2 linked regions of the Alligator mississippiensis genome follow. The protein of the gene in region 2 interacts with the protein of the main gene of each other region in a biochemical or structural test. Links are inferred from orthologs where the notes say so. Each region holds a gene or a part of one and is shown on either strand. Other genes may lie near its edges.

Region 1 (7,725 bases), on a different chromosome or scaffold from region 2:
TGGGAGCCCACAGTTCATGTCATAGGCTCCTCCCCCTCAAAATGTGCCTGCTTTGGCTGGAGAGGAGGCAAGCTCCAGCCACGAGCTGTTTCAGGAGGAAATACAGACAAGGGTGGGGGAAGGGGAGTGGGGAAGAAGTGATCAACCGGGCTGGGCCAGAGGCTCTTTGCCAGCTGTGGTTCCTCGCCCATCCTGGGAGACGATGAGCGGTTAGAACCCGCAGATAACGGCCCTGGCACAAATCTACTGACCCTCGTGTCAGAGCCGAGACCGAATCAATACCAGAGGCAGCTGATCCCCTCCCCTTCCCCCCTCCAAGCTAGTGGATCCTGAAAGGTTAACTGCCTGTAGGGCAAAGGCAACACAGAAAAGGCGTAGTGTGGAGTCCTCCCCTCTGCCCACATGTCTGGAGGTCCGGCCTGCAGAGAGGGCCAGGGAGGAGGCCAGAGAGTGGCATTTCTGACATGGACGCTGCTGCCGGCCTTGAGAGAGAGATGGGAGCAGATTCTCTTGCATGTGGGTGGGAATAGGCTTAACGTGGGAAGCTGACTTCAGCCTTAACATGGGCAGATGGCCTAGGAAAGGGGGAGGGGTCTGTGCTGTCCATGAACACAGGCAGCTTCCGTGGTTCCTCCCACCTCCCCTGCTAAGCAGCCACAGGTCATCACTATGGATGCAAACGGTCCAGGAATAGGACTTTGATTCTCCAGCATCCTACCAGCTTCTCCAGTGGGTCTGAAGCCTGCAATCATTGGGCTAGGTCCCTACCTGATTTATTCCATTACTTGCTCCAGGGCAACTGGTCCAACACCCAGGGATGTCAGCAGAAAGATGCCCGCTGGCTTCGCTGGGCTTTTGGATGCAGCCAAGAACACCAGATCACAAGCGATTCCCCAACGGCTCTGCTGAACTCAATACAATGAAATTGTACTGCAGCAAGATACCCCCCGCACAGATGCCTTGCTTTTGTGAGGGGCAAATCCACAAACACTGCCTGTGTCACAGGTTGGCCGCCCCTGCAATAAGCTAACTAAATCAGAGATGTGCAAGCTTTCAAAAACAATGGCCTGCTTATTTTGGAGGCTCAGAGTTCACAGCCTGAAGAGCCACAGTCGACATATAAAAGCTGCTTATTTCTACAATTGCTGTTACTATCTCCAGGGTCGCAGGGGCTGTCCTGTACCAGGCTGGGGTGCCCTTAGGTCAAGAGTGTGATTCCTACGGGTGCCTGGAGGAAGGGGGCAGCCTCTCCTCTCCACTGTAAGGACCTTGCCACAGTCACCTATGCCTCTGTCACCTGGCAGCAACGGAAGCTCCCAGCGCTGCTGCATGCTGAGATTAGCACACAGTGCCGCAGGGGGATTCCCGGGGGGAGCCACACGTCAGGAGCACACCACTGCCCTGCTCCGAGAGATGCCCCCACCTGCCGACACACATCCAGGTGAAACTCAAAGATGATCCTGTCTCGAGCAGGGGGCTGGACGAGGTGACCTCACAAGGTCCCTTCCAGCCCTACTTTCCCATAAACTCAAGGCACCAATGCAAAGCTTTACGCTTCAGGACCTGGTTCCCTATGAAATCACAGCTCTCTCCCAGCTGCTGACTGCTATCTGACAAAGCTGGGACACTCTAGGAGAAACCTCAACCCTGGGGCTTGCTCCTCACTTGCTCTACTGGAGCCTGAATTAGTGGCATGCTGGAAGGCTTCCTTGCCAAGGCTTGTAGAGTGGGGGGGAGGTGGGGAGGTAGAGTTTAGGGCTAGGTGGCAGGTGAGGAAGGTTATTTAAAACATCCCCCTCACTAACTGGCGAAAACCTTCTGTGGATCAAGGGGGAAGGTGCAGCCCCTTTCCACTGTATTTCCAAAGATGGTGCCTACAGAGGGGAACTTGAAACCATGCTTGCAACCTGTACACATGCAATACCACTCAAGTGCAGCCATTTCTGGGGAGGAAGGCAACCGCCAGTCTAAGCCCAGCTGGCCTAGGGGAGGAAGGAAGGAAAGGCAGCCAAGCACAATCAAGCCAGCCTGATGTTTCCATCATGCCAGGAGGATTTCTCCCATCACTGCAGCACAGACTGGACCACAGCCGCCAAGACTGACCACAGAGCCGAGCCTCACGGAACTTGCATATCCAACCGAGGGGAAAGTGGACGAGCGCAACCGGCTGCAATTCCTGACTGCCAGTCAATGGAGGGGGGGTCTCTGGACTCAATTCTCATCGACCTGACTCTGGAAACAAAGAGGGAGGGTCCGAGCGAGCAGAAGCCGCGAGGCTTGGGCAGGAGCCTCAGCCTTAATGCAAAGGAGACTCGGGCGACAGGAGTTTCAAACCCAAGGCTTAGCCAGCTGCTCAGCCAGATGCCCTGCTCAGCATGTTCCCCCACACATCAGAACCAGGAGGAATCATAGTCACCCCCACAGATCCCATCCCACAGCTGGTCCGATCTCCCTCGTCACCCTGCACCTGCTTCTTCATCCCACAGCACAGCAGATGTGAACCCTGTGATTGCTGGCGGGTGGGGTGGGGGGTAACCCAAGTGACAAGCCCAACCCTCCATCCCCCTCAAAACTGGCCACCCCTGCCCCCAGCACACACACACACTCTCCCCTACACTCCTCCTCATCACTGCCTGCAGCAGAGAGACCAGGGATCCACCCCCGCAACCACCACCACCGACTGACCTGCACAGCCATTGAAGCCACAGGCTATAACAGAGCCTTTCTCTACAATGGTGGAGGCTGCTGGGATCTACGGTGGCATGAAGGCTGCCTGGGCCAAACGCCATCGCACCAGGCAGAGGACTGGAGCAGATCCTAACCATGCAGTGCTGAGCCTCTGCAGCACGGGGCCCAGCCAGCAGCCTTTCAGCCAGTCTTAGTTATTTATGCCTTTCCAAGGTGGGTCAGGGCCAGGGGGGAGGTGGTATGGGGGGGATACAGTGGGGAGGAAGAAAGAGAGGGAAAGAAAAACTTACAAGACCAGAGCAGAAGCTGAGAAGCATCTTTGGTTACATAACAGGAGAGCAGAGAAGCAAAGGAATCAGTGAGACGGTGGCTGCCGGGCTCCACTGAGAGATCCCCGCTTCTCTTTCATCTCCTGCAGTTCCTCCAGTCAGAGAGGGGGACGGAGGGGGGAAGAAGGGGGGAAAAAACCCCCACAGTGCCTGATGCAAAAGGAAAATCCTGCACCAAGAGCTGAGGTTGCAATCACCGGGAGCTGAGAGCACAGTCGCTCCGGTCCATCCGCCTGTGCGCTTGGCGGCCAGATGCTATCGATTCCTAACCCCACCGCAAGGGCAGGGAGTGCGGAGGAGCGGCAGGGAGGGTGGGGGGGCGTGCGCATGGGAAACAGTGCATTTTCATTTCAAACCCAGTTCACAACTTTGCTGCACACAATAAGGAAATCATAGCGTAGGCTCCCTAGGCAGCCTAGCTCCCGGGTCTGTAGGGACCTCCCCTGGAGCTGATCTCCCTCTATAGGAGGGAGGGGAGGCAGGCAGAGCACAAGATGCTTTGACAGTGGGTGAATGTAGCACTGTTTCTGCCAGTTTGGTTTTGTTTTTTTAAAGCCACCGGACAAATCCCACTGGATTATCCCTAGTCCGCCCCTCGGCTGATTCACAACTGTCCGGCAGTGGCTACGACCGTAGATTCTACTTCTCCGATGGCCGCGTCACCCACTCCCAACCACAGCCCATTCCACAAGATACAGCCAGGCCTGAAAAAAACTCAGCAACCATCAACTAGCCAGCAGATCTGACCTGCTAGCCGTGGGTTGGGAAAGAAGTCCTACCAACAAGAGAGAAATCCTGCTCCCACTCCCAGCAGCTGGGGAGAGGGGATGCGTGGGAATTCCTATGCAGAGGCTGTCCCTGGCCCCTGCTCGAAGCAGACTGAAGTGGGAAATGGAGTGATCAGAGGTGACCCCTCACCCAAGCCAGGGAGAAAGCACTGATGTCTGTCGCTCTTCACCCTGCTAGCTGATGCCTCAATTATACAGGGCCTCATCCTTTGTATCCCCCACTCGGCTTGTCCGCAGCTGTTGGCTGGAAGGAGCGACTATCCTTGTGGCTCCAGGCCTCCTCACTCTCTTGATGGCTGGGTACATGCTGACCTGCCCCCGTACCTTGGCAGCTCTAATGAAAGTGCCCACATCTTCTGCCCACCTGCCATCCCCACTCCACTGTTCAAATCCTCCCATGCAGCAAGCAGGCCTAGGACTGGTTTCTGCTGCTGCTTAAAGGTCACCCTCCCACAAGGGAAAGTCTACTGGGTTTCACACCTTTCCTGCCTCTACAAGGAGGACTAAAACTGATCAAAGTCTCCTGGGTTTCATTCTGCTGCTGGGCCAGGTTGGGAGCTGCAGCTGCACCGGAGTGGTCTCTGCCCTCAGAGGCAAGGAGGCAGCACTCAGATATGACAGGTCCTTCCCAGAAGACAGAAGCCTTCCTTGTAAACCAGGGCTGCCAAGGTTGCCTGCCCCCTTCCCCGGGGAGGATCAGGATGACAGGCCAGATCTGGACCCACCCCCAGAAGCAGAGCAAGGGTTAATGCAGCCATCATTCACCCCACAGCCACTCTCACACATCCCCAATTGGGCTCCGTACCCCAGAACTCAGCAACGGGCCCTACCCTCACTCATCCCCCAGCCCTATTCCCTGCCCCTCCAGAAACCCTGCAGGCCAGTTGTTAGACGACCCCCCCCACCCCATTCTAGACAAAAAGCTTAGCAGTCAAGACCTGGACCCTATGAATATTCCTGATAACCCACCCTACTTAACACCTGGGGTGATCTAACCCTAAGTGACCAGATCCCAATATCAGACATTTCCTAATGCTCAACTTATATTTCCCCTTCCTGAATGAAATGAAACTGAACTTAGAAAAAAAAGCCTCAACGCACAGCAAAAGATTGTATCTGCTGCCATAACACGCAATGCCCACAATTACCATAACTGAAAGAAAAAAAGAAAAAACAAAAGAAGAATGTTTTTGCTTGATCGGTTGGGCTGTGCGAGTTTCACAGCGCGGGAAATATACAGTGGGTTTTGATGCCCCTCTCTTTTCTAGTCAGGGTCTTGGTCTCGTGGAAAGGACTTTTTCCGCAAGGAGAAAGAAAATTTGGCAGAAAGCTGATGTTATTGGATGCCTATAATAACAGGAACTATTCTGGGACAGGTGCTTTAAACTCAGCCCACCTACACCTGATTTTTTTTTCCTCTGGTATATTTTTAGCTAATCTATGCACCTCAGCTCAGGCCTGGGGTTCAGGCAGGTTCTAACCAACCAACCCCAAAATCACAACATCCCAAGCCATGATTGGCACAGGGTTGCTATTTCTCCACTAAAGGATCACACCAGTATAACCAGTGTCAACATCTATCCTTCCTTCCCCCCAAATGTAGGCTAGCACCATGCGTCCAACTCCGTAAGTCTAGTCCGTGTGCAGTGCGAGGACCAGTTGAAGGGCACTGCCTGGGAAATTACTTGAATGAAATCTCGCAAATGCCCCGTTCTTGTAAATCAGGCCAAAAGTATCTTCCACTGGTTTCGCTTCAGCTTTGCAATTCAGTCAAACGGAGGCCCAAACTGCAGGCAGGCTACCTCTGAGGTTTAAAAGCTTTGCAACCCAGCCAAAGAGAGCTGAGCAAACTGAACTGAAACTGTGCCTTCGACTCAGCCAGCACCGACAGGGGACTGCCGCGCACAACAGAACTCGGGCTCTGACGTGATCTGCAATACAACGGGGGCAGACAGACAAGACGGTCTCTTTGTTTCGTGGGATAAGCCAGCCCCATCGGGTTCCAAACAGCTTGGGTCATCTTATTTTCTTTTATCCCCAGCTTTACCATGCGAGAGAACAGTAACTGAGCTTCACACGTGCTGGGACAGCGAGTTTCACCATAGAGGGAAGCAGTGAAGGTTGACAGTTTACACAGATAAGAAAGATTCACTTCCTTTACTGTTTACCCTATGCTTTTCCGCCCCCCAAACACTCCCCCCCCCCACCCCTGCCATCTCCAGAACTGTATGAATGACAGCAACTACAAAAGCAGTATCACAGCTTGAGTTTTAGCCATATGGATCTGCCCCAAATGGGTTAGATCAGCGATTCTCAGCCACGGTGCTGCAGTACTCTGGGGTGCCATGAGATCTTTTCAAGGGTGCTGTGGGATGCTGTGCCATATTAGCACCCTTAGGTGTGTGAACACCTACACAAGATTCACAAGATAAACCCAGAGGTTTCAAACAGGGATCCAGGGTGTCAAAGCCGTTCCTCCCTGCCGTGGGCTTTCCGAGTCCCTTGCAACAGAAGAACTGCTCTGGTATTTTTCAGACAAGGTTCTTTGGGTAAATCCAATATCTTTTATTAGACCAACTCAAATAGTTGGAAAAAATTCTTCTTAGCAAGACACCCTTCATCAGGCTGAGGAAGCATTTTTCCACATTCAAGAAATGAGTGAAAGCCAAGAGCTGCCATTTTCTGAGGGGGTCCTCAAGTCTGATTGAAGGGTGTTTTGAGTCTACCAAAGTTGAGAACCACTGGGTTAGACAGTTATTGCCAGCTGCAACCATTACTATTCTAGTCTTCCTACCCCCTTCGCTACAGGGCAGTGGTGCTGAACGAGTAGTAGCACTGATGGGAAATTGTTACAGAGGGGAAAAGAGGCCAGCCACAGACTCAGCCCTGCACCCTGTGCTGATTGTCTGGGGGAACCCCCCAGAGCAGCTAGATTTGAAAACCTTAAACACATACACAGAACCACACACACACAGAACAAAATACAGCCATGGGGCAGGCAGGGGCAGCTCCACCAAAGTCATCAGGTGGAGGAAAAATAGGCAACAGCTGGGAAAGTTGCCCCCTGCAACCCACAGTCATCAGGGATCAGACGGAGGGGGCCAGGCCACCTTTGGCCTTACCAATCACCAGCCAAGGGGTCAGTAGCTATTCTCCTGAACTAAGACCACTTGTTCCCTCAGATTTCCTCACACCCCATTGAATTTTAAAGGTGGATGGGATTTTTCTCTCTTTTCAACTCCAGAGCCAAGAACACCTCCGAGAAAGAGTCACACAAAAGCAGGGAAGGGACCTCACCAGGCCATCTACTCCAGCCCCCTGCTCAAGGCAGGATCAACCCTGAATAAACCATCCTGGGGCGAGTGTTGTGTCCCACTGCACACTCAACATTTTTCCAGAGTTCCCTCTGTATTAAAAGGGTCATAGACCGGCAGTCCCTTGCATCTACCTGGAGGCCCTGGCAACTCCAAAGGGACCCAGCACTAGAAGAAAGCAAACAAAAGAGAATGAAATAAAAGGCCTGAATTAAAATGAACAAGCTTGCATGGGGATGAGGGTGAATTCCATGCTTTGAAGCACCAGCCCAATCAGCAAAGGTGTAAACCTTTGCTGGAGTGAACAATGGGAAACCTGAAAAGAGAAATAGGCTGGAGGCAACTGCTGGTTCCATGGAGCATGGTACCCCTGGTACCTGTCCGCCAGCATAGCCAAGGCTCCACACCAATTCTCCACACCAGCACATGTACCGTAGGGGTGGAACATGGAAAAATTCCTTCCTGACCCCTGCCTATGCCCTGAAGCCCGAGGGTCAATTCTTCCTCTGCCTGAGCCACCCCAAACCACCAAGGTCACACAGTTATCCGGCCCATTTCATTCCAACCGCACCATTTGGCTATTTGATTTCCTGCCAAACAGCCTGG
Region 2 (7,707 bases):
GCGGCTAGTAAAGCTACCAAAACTCTGGCTTGCATCCATAGATGCTTCTCAAGCAAATCCCGGGACGTCATTCTCCCCTTATACTCAGCCTTGGTGAGGCTGCAGCTGGAGTCCTGCGTCCAGTTTTGGGCTCCACAATTCAAAAAGGATGTGGAGAAGCTTGAGAGAGTCCAGAGAAGAGCCACGCGCATGATCAGAGGTCAGGGAAGCAGACCCTGCGATGACAGGCTGAGAGCCCTGGGGCTCTTTAGCCTGGAAAAGCGCAGGCTCAGGGGTGATCTGATGGCCACCTACAAGTTTATCAGGGGTGACCACCAGTATCTGGGGGAACATTTGTTCACCAGAGCGCTCCTAGGGATGATGGCTAGGTCGAACAGTCATAAGCTACTACAAGACCGTTTCAGGCTGGACATAAGGAAGAATTTCTTTACTGTCCGAGCCCCCAAGGTCTGGAACAGCCTGCCACCGGAGGTGGTTCAAGCACCTACATTGAACACCTTCAAGAGCAAACTGGATGCTTATCTTGCTGGGATCCTTATGACCCCAGCTGACTTCCTGCCCTTTGGGCAGGGGGCTGGACTCGATGATCTTCCGAGGTCCCTTCCAGCGCTAATGTCTATGAAGTCTATGAATTTAGTAGGTTGGGACCAATCAAAAACCATAATATATAACTTTACATAATATGTAAGTGTAATATAGGGTAAAAAGTAGACTACAATTCCCAACTACAAAAATGGAAGTGTAACATAATCTTCTTTTAAAATTGTTTTTTTTTTAATGCATTTGTTCATTGCCATAGAGCTTGGCTGGCTACCATCTGAACTTGGGATGATATTTAAACAAAAACAGACCTAGATTTTGTTGTTCTTACTAAATTAATTTAAATACTTACTTCACTGGGACTACTCCTGTATTCGTGTCCTGAGCAGGGGTAATCAAATATGGCCCTAGTTCAAAATCAAATTTTGAATAGGTCAAATTATATTTTGTCAAATCTAGTTTATAACTGCCTAACTTTAGTTCATAGGTTGAATGCCTAACAATATAAAAAATATATCTAGATATCAGGGTAAGTCAAAAAACAATCAGTATAAGTCTGGGGAGGAAACGCCAATTCTCCTCTCCCAACTAAGAACTGAAAGTATGGCATTAATGATGATGAATGGATTTCCAATTGTTTTAAATTAGCATACTTGCTTTGACTTCAGTGGACATATGATAATTTACGTCATCTGAGGATCTGACTTATTCCATTATATTGTAACTTGTTAATGTTAAAAGGATATACTTAGTTTTTATTGCCAAATTGAATCAAATATTAACTAATGCTTCTAAACAAATGAAAATATATAAAAACGATATTGCAAAGTGACAGGTAGCAACCTTTTACCATTTACATATCTGATCTATCAGTTTCCAGTTCTCAGACTTTAAGTTTTGTAGAGCAGTGGCACACTTTTGAAACATGTTCAGAGCCTTTGATGACATGTAAACAGTGGGATGGGTATTAGATTATTTCCTAATGAACAACAGCCACTAAGGAGTTTACTGTGTGCATTGTTCTTGTACCTTGCAAGTGAACTCATTGTGTTTAATGGGACTACTCAAATGCTTAAAATTAAATGCATGCTTACATTTCCTGTTGAATTAAGATGCAAAAGCAAAAAATTGTTTGCTGAATCAGGATTGATTGATTTTTAATGTATGGACTCAAAAGTGCTTAATCTTCTTTTGACATTTACCCCTTATTTTATCTCTTTTAGGTCAAGCTGAAATGTCTACTACACCTAGTAAGACAACTCTCTTCTTTTTTTCATTACAGCACTACCTTACTTCTTAGTGAAATTAGCTTGTATTATATTGTTGTTAATTACTAATAAGACAGTTAATTTAGTTTTATCTTCTGGAATGTTTAATATCTTTACATTTAGAACACTGAAAATGTGGAATGAAAATAACATGAATCAATTTATAAAGAAGGGACAGATGAATAAGTTTTCTTGTTTCTGAATGTGTAATAAGTATTTCACAGATACTGCATTATTCATTAGACAATAAGCTCTTCAGGTAAGGATTTTTTTTATATGTTTGTACATCATATAAGACAACAAAGTCCTGGCCTCTAAGCAGAAATGTAATATATGTAATTAATACTAGAGCATGGTAGGTTCTGAAATGACATCTACTACAATACATAGCAAAATGCTCATAGTTACTTGGTTTTGTTATAATGTTGGATAGTATTTTCACATTTTTCTTCCCTCAAACTTTTACCAAGGTTTACAAAATAATTCAAGAAAATTAATTACATTTTAATTTAAACTTCTAACAACTGTGATCCTAAGTTCACTCAGATCAATCCATTTTACCACTCAAATTAGTAGCATAAAATCACATTAAAATTTTAGTAGGAGTAATATTAATACAACATAGAAATTCGATTAACACATTTTAAGAGGAGTAACTACAAAACCTAAAAAATTAATATAATCTTAAATTGGCTGTTTTTGGAATCATACTGTGACAGACTTGTATTTGAACCTTTGAATGATGTTTTAACAATATCACACTATGTGTAGTCCCCCTTACTCATTTTGATTCATGTTTACTGCATTGTGAATAAGTATATCAGAATCTAATCTGTATTGTATATCTTACATAATGTCTGATTTCACCAAGGCTATTGTAGGTTGTTCCTTGGGAGCTCACCAATATCATTAGTACAGTTAGTGATGTTTTCTATGCACCATATTATTCTGATGATTCCTTTCCCTCCATCACTGATGATAGGAAACTCAAGTTCCAAATTTTCTATAGTCTTTTATTTACACTTGTATCTTAAAAAGAATATATCTACTTCACAGCTGACTTAAGATATATGTACACCATACAAAGTGCTTTGCCAACTCATCAATCCCAAAGGACATCTTAGTATGATTTTGGTGTCCTGAGGTCATATTTCTTTTAAATCATGCATGGATTGAAAGGTTATAGTCTTGTCTCAAACATGAGGGAAGAAAACTTTTCTCTTTACAAGTGCCACCTGTTTCCCTAACATTCTAGAAAATTTCAGTTATTCCCACATTTATTCCCCCTATAAGGGGCATGCATTAAAAAATGCAAGGTGTTGTGTATACTGAATGTTTCTTAATTCTGCCACTCTTTGGGTTTTGTGCACTTGAGCAAATCACTTAACTAATTGCATAGATGTCTCTAATAGGATTTAAGAAGCAATTTTGACTTAATGATTTTGCTCAGATATGACTGGACAAATTGTCTTACTAGCTTTAAATGAGCTTTAGATAAGTTCATACTTGTTTTTTTTTAATGATTGTTAAAAATAAATTATTTTGTGCATGGCACCCATTGGGTACATACACAAGTACAAAGGGCATTTGTACACATGCTTGTGCCAGAGCTCTGGGTGCTTTTAAAAGCACACGGTGCTGTGGCGCATGCATTTTTATAAAGAGCAAAATGCGCGTTAGCACTGAGAAAATAGCACACTTTTAAACTAAAAGACATTGAAAGTGTTTTAGTTCAAAAGCTCACCACCACCATTTTCTCAGCATTGACATGCATTTCACCATTTATACAAATGCATGTGACACAGCTCTGGGTGTGCCAGCTTGTATGCAGAGCAGACTTGATTAATCTGGTGTGAAGTAGCTGTCAAATAGATGAATTGAGTCTGCTTTGACAAAATCCAGCACATCAGAGCAGGCAAATGTATGTGTATAAATGCCCTAACTTTCTGACAGTTGACTTAACTTTTTCAAGTTGACTTAATTGCTAGAGCATAAGCACATATAGGGAGCACAGTTGACTTAAATGTGGTGCAAGATCATACAGCTCCAAGGTGTATCATCTTGAGTTGCATTATTTAAGTTGACTCTAAGTGCAAGGTGTCAAGGAGCTGTGTGTGTGTGTGTGTGTGTGTGTGTGTGTGTGTGTGTATGCTTCAATGTGGCTTAACTTAAATCATCTTAGTTAAGGCAACTTTAAGTCACTTTATTTTAAGTTGACTTAGTACGTGTGTACGCACCCAACTACTTCACAAAATAGATGGCACATTCTGCCTTATCCTGATACCACTGAAGCTAAATGGAAGTTTCACCTTTGACTTCAGCAAGAGAAGTCAGTTAATAAGAACAGAGCACTCAGAACTTTAGGTGCTGAGCTTGTAAAAGCTTTATATTTCCAATAACTTTGCTTACATTGTATTTTTCTATTTTTGCCAGTTGTTTTTTATGCTACAAACTAAATACAATTGATTGCCCACCAAAATAAAGGAAGAGCTAATACTGTATAACCATGCATCTTATAGGGTATGCCTGTACTTTACTCAGAGGTCTGACATCCCCAAGCTGCCTTTAAGCCATGTAGCTCAGGGAGTGATAGCAGTGTAGGTGCATTTAGCACAAGGCTGAACACAGAATAATTGCTTATTTACCCAGTGTCTGTGATTGGTTTTACACCTTATGCTTTTCTTCATGCTCCCATGACTATACTGTTACTGATAACCAGGCTAGCTACTTCAAGGTGAGCTCAAGTATGTTTATGACCTGAAGTCAGACCTCAATTCCCTTCCTTTTAGTACTTTTTTCCAAGTACAGCAACTTAATTTACATGGCACTATCATTTTCTGCATATAGTATATTGGGAAACATTAACAAAAATAATTGTACTTCCTTGCTACAGGTATCATGTCAACACGCAGCTCATATACTACCACTCATGCAGACTCAAGCTCTTCATTTGGAACCAGCAATCAGACACTCAGCAGCTCTGCTGCCCTTACCGCACACACTTCTGCTACCACCATACATAAATCATCAGGTTTGCTGTATTCCTTTAGATGTCCCAGGTTGTCAGTAGTCCTGTCTTGATTTGTTCATGGGGAGGAGTTCTATATGGGTTGAGAGTGGAGTAATTCTTAAAACAGCTCTTCCTCAGCAAAGCATGACCGTGTTAATACATGGCACAATTAATGCCCAAAAAATGGGCTTCTGCATTTTATTTCCAGATTGTATCTTATGGCTTGATCTTGCATTCATTTTTCTCACAAGTCTCCTAGGCATTCAACAACAATTTTGCAAGAGCAAGGATTGCAGAAGTGAGCCCATAAAAAAACTGAATAGAATTAGTAGTTTCTAATTAAAATGTGGTATCTATAGTACTTTGAGATTATAGTTCTGATCATACAAGCACTTGGAGGTGAGAAAAATGGTTCCTATGGAAGTAAGTTTGGCAGAGTTTGCAGATTTTTGGTACTATGGTAAGGAATAAGAATTATTATTTTTCCTAATTTGAGAGAAGGACAAATTATGAAGCCATTATGATGGCTGAATTCCAATTGATTTAGTTAGAATTTTTGTCTCACTAATGATGTCAGGATTTAATATATTATGTGGACATCTGAGGTTATTTTAAATTACAGTTAATATTTTTGGTTTTCTAAATGAAAAGACTAATAAAGCCTTATTTATGACTCTGTCCTTCATCTGTTGTGATAAGATATCAACAACAACAAAAAAACCCAACAGGAAAGATACACTTTTAATACGAACACACAGACAAGCGGAGAGAATCTCTTAATAGTATTTTGTTCTGTTCATTTCCTTGCAGATTATTCTAATCCATCACCCTTGCATGCCTCCACGTTACCATCCACGACTCTTACTCCATCCAGCAATTCAACAAACATTTCTCAGTCTTCTGCAGACATCTCACATTCCATGGCTACAACTGCTTCCAGTCTCACAATAGGTGACAGACCTGCACACAGTTATACCTCATGCATGTGAAATGTCAGAGCCTAAAGTGGCTTTATCTTTGAAAAATAATAAAAATATGTTTTGTCACAGATTCAACTGAAAAAACTAATTTTTTTTCCAGGCTGCTTACTATTGTCAATTTGATAGTTAAATTTTATTTAAAAGTTCATATTTCCTTTATGAAAGTTATGAACAGGAAGTATTATTTGTTCTTTCATCAAAAAAAAAAATGGTGAAACCTGTTTTTATACTTCAATAAATAATTATCTTCCAAGTAATTGGATTCTATTTATTTAGTAGATATCATGATTGATACACTCTCTATTCTATAATTCTGACTATGTCCTAGCTAGATATTCCAATTTTGATGAAAGAGTAATATCACTCATATCTTTAATACCATATCAATAAGAGAAATAATTTAGCTTGTGCATATGGAACTATAGGTTGTAAAACATATAATGGGAAGTTATAACTTATAATCAATTATGCAAACAGATATAAAATACATGCTGGGCATGTCTACACATGAATTTATGCGTGCCTAAACTTAATGCACCTTAGCCTAAGGCGCATTAAAGTGATTTAGATGTGTGGCTACACATGCACACCTTAAGGAACCTGAATGCGGATTGCTGACTGAATGCATTGGCAACCTGCCCTGGGCAGCACCCTGGATAGTCCACAGGAGTCCATGGCAGCATAGCTGAGCAGTGCAGCCCAGTGCTGGCCAAGGGAGTGAGAGTCTCCAGTTCTCCCAGATGTGATTGGCTCAGACCTGGACCTGGCCCTAGCTCCGGCCCTAACTCCCTCCCCATGTTCCTGCCTCCCTAGCATTGGATGACAGCAAGCTGGAGCCAAGCCTGTGGTGTTCTGCACTGCTGCTGGATACCATCAAGAAGAAGACACGGCGAGTGCTGTTCTGCAAGGTGCAAACACTGGAGCTGGAGTGCCAGTTCCAGCAGCAGCAGTACCTGTCAGCGTGCTGACTGACATGGAACTAAGTTGGCAGAGAAGGCACGAGGGCTCCTGTCAGAGCATAAGAGAGAGGCCTCCTGCAGCTCCCTGGGGGGGAGAAGAGGGCAGCGCAGCACAGACGGGGCTTTTGCTAGTGGCTCTCCCATGCCTTGGAGCAGATTTGCTGGCCAAGCAATGCAGCCCTGCAGGAGTAGGATGCCTTGCTTCCCACTCAGGATTCAGGCACCCTTAGAAGCCTGTTCTGGGATCCCACCTGGGACAGCAGGCAGACTGGGACTGCATCTGCCCCCAGCACCTGGCACAGCTTTCCCTGCTCCACGCACCTCTTCCCCAGGCAAGAGCCTGGCCTTCCTGCTGGACACTGCTCATCAGAGATGTGGCATGAGCTCCTGGGGCCTCTGCATGGCTCAGCCCAGGCAAGCTGGATGCAATGCAGGTGGAGGCTCAGCCATGGATCAGGCAGTCCAGAAAGAGCCTAGCCTCTGCCCACGTTGCTCCTAGCCAGCCCAGGCTGAACCATGCAGAGCCCCATGGGCAGTGTCCATCAGGGCAGCTATGCACTTTCCTGGGGAGGAGGTGGGAGAAGCAGAAAAAGCCATGCCAGGTGCTGAAACAGATGCAGTCCTGCCTGCTGTCCTGGGTGGAAGCCCCAGTGTGGGCTCCTAAGGGCACCTGAATCCCAGGCAGGCAGTGAGTCACCCCACCCCTGCAGGACTGCATTGTCTGGCCAGCAAACCCACCTCGAGTGAGAGGCAAGCAAAGGCCCTGCCCATGCTGTGTTGCCCCCTTCCCCACCAGGGAGTCACAAGGGGATCTTTCCCTTGTGCTTTGACAGGAGCCCTCACACCTCCTGCCCGCTCTGCCAACTTAGTCCCAAGTCAGTTGGCACACCTACAGGTAGTGCTGCTGCCAGAACCACCACTCCAGCTCCAGTGTGTGTGCCTTGTAGAAC

Evidence for each region. The genes of interacting proteins can lie anywhere in the genome.
Region 1: of the proteins of PTPRC (region 2) and CSK, one has a biochemical effect on the other in vitro, tested with the Homo sapiens proteins (2 studies listed by IntAct). The link is inferred for Alligator mississippiensis from reciprocal best matches to the Homo sapiens genes PTPRC and CSK.

The regions. Positions count from the first base shown.
Region 1 is NC_081834.1:41,574,544-41,582,268, forward strand, and holds the start of CSK (tyrosine-protein kinase CSK), read right to left. Parts: upstream 3,021-7,725; 5' UTR 3,006-3,020; coding exon 2,979-3,005; intron 1-2,978. UniProt on the Homo sapiens protein: Non-receptor tyrosine-protein kinase that plays an important role in the regulation of cell growth, differentiation, migration and immune response.
Region 2 is NC_081828.1:67,012,403-67,020,109, forward strand, and holds the start of PTPRC (receptor-type tyrosine-protein phosphatase C), read left to right. Parts: upstream 1-4,691; 5' UTR 4,692-4,706; coding exon 4,707-4,839; intron 4,840-5,628; coding exon 5,629-5,769; intron 5,770-7,707. UniProt on the Homo sapiens protein: Protein tyrosine-protein phosphatase required for T-cell activation through the antigen receptor. Acts as a positive regulator of T-cell coactivation upon binding to DPP4.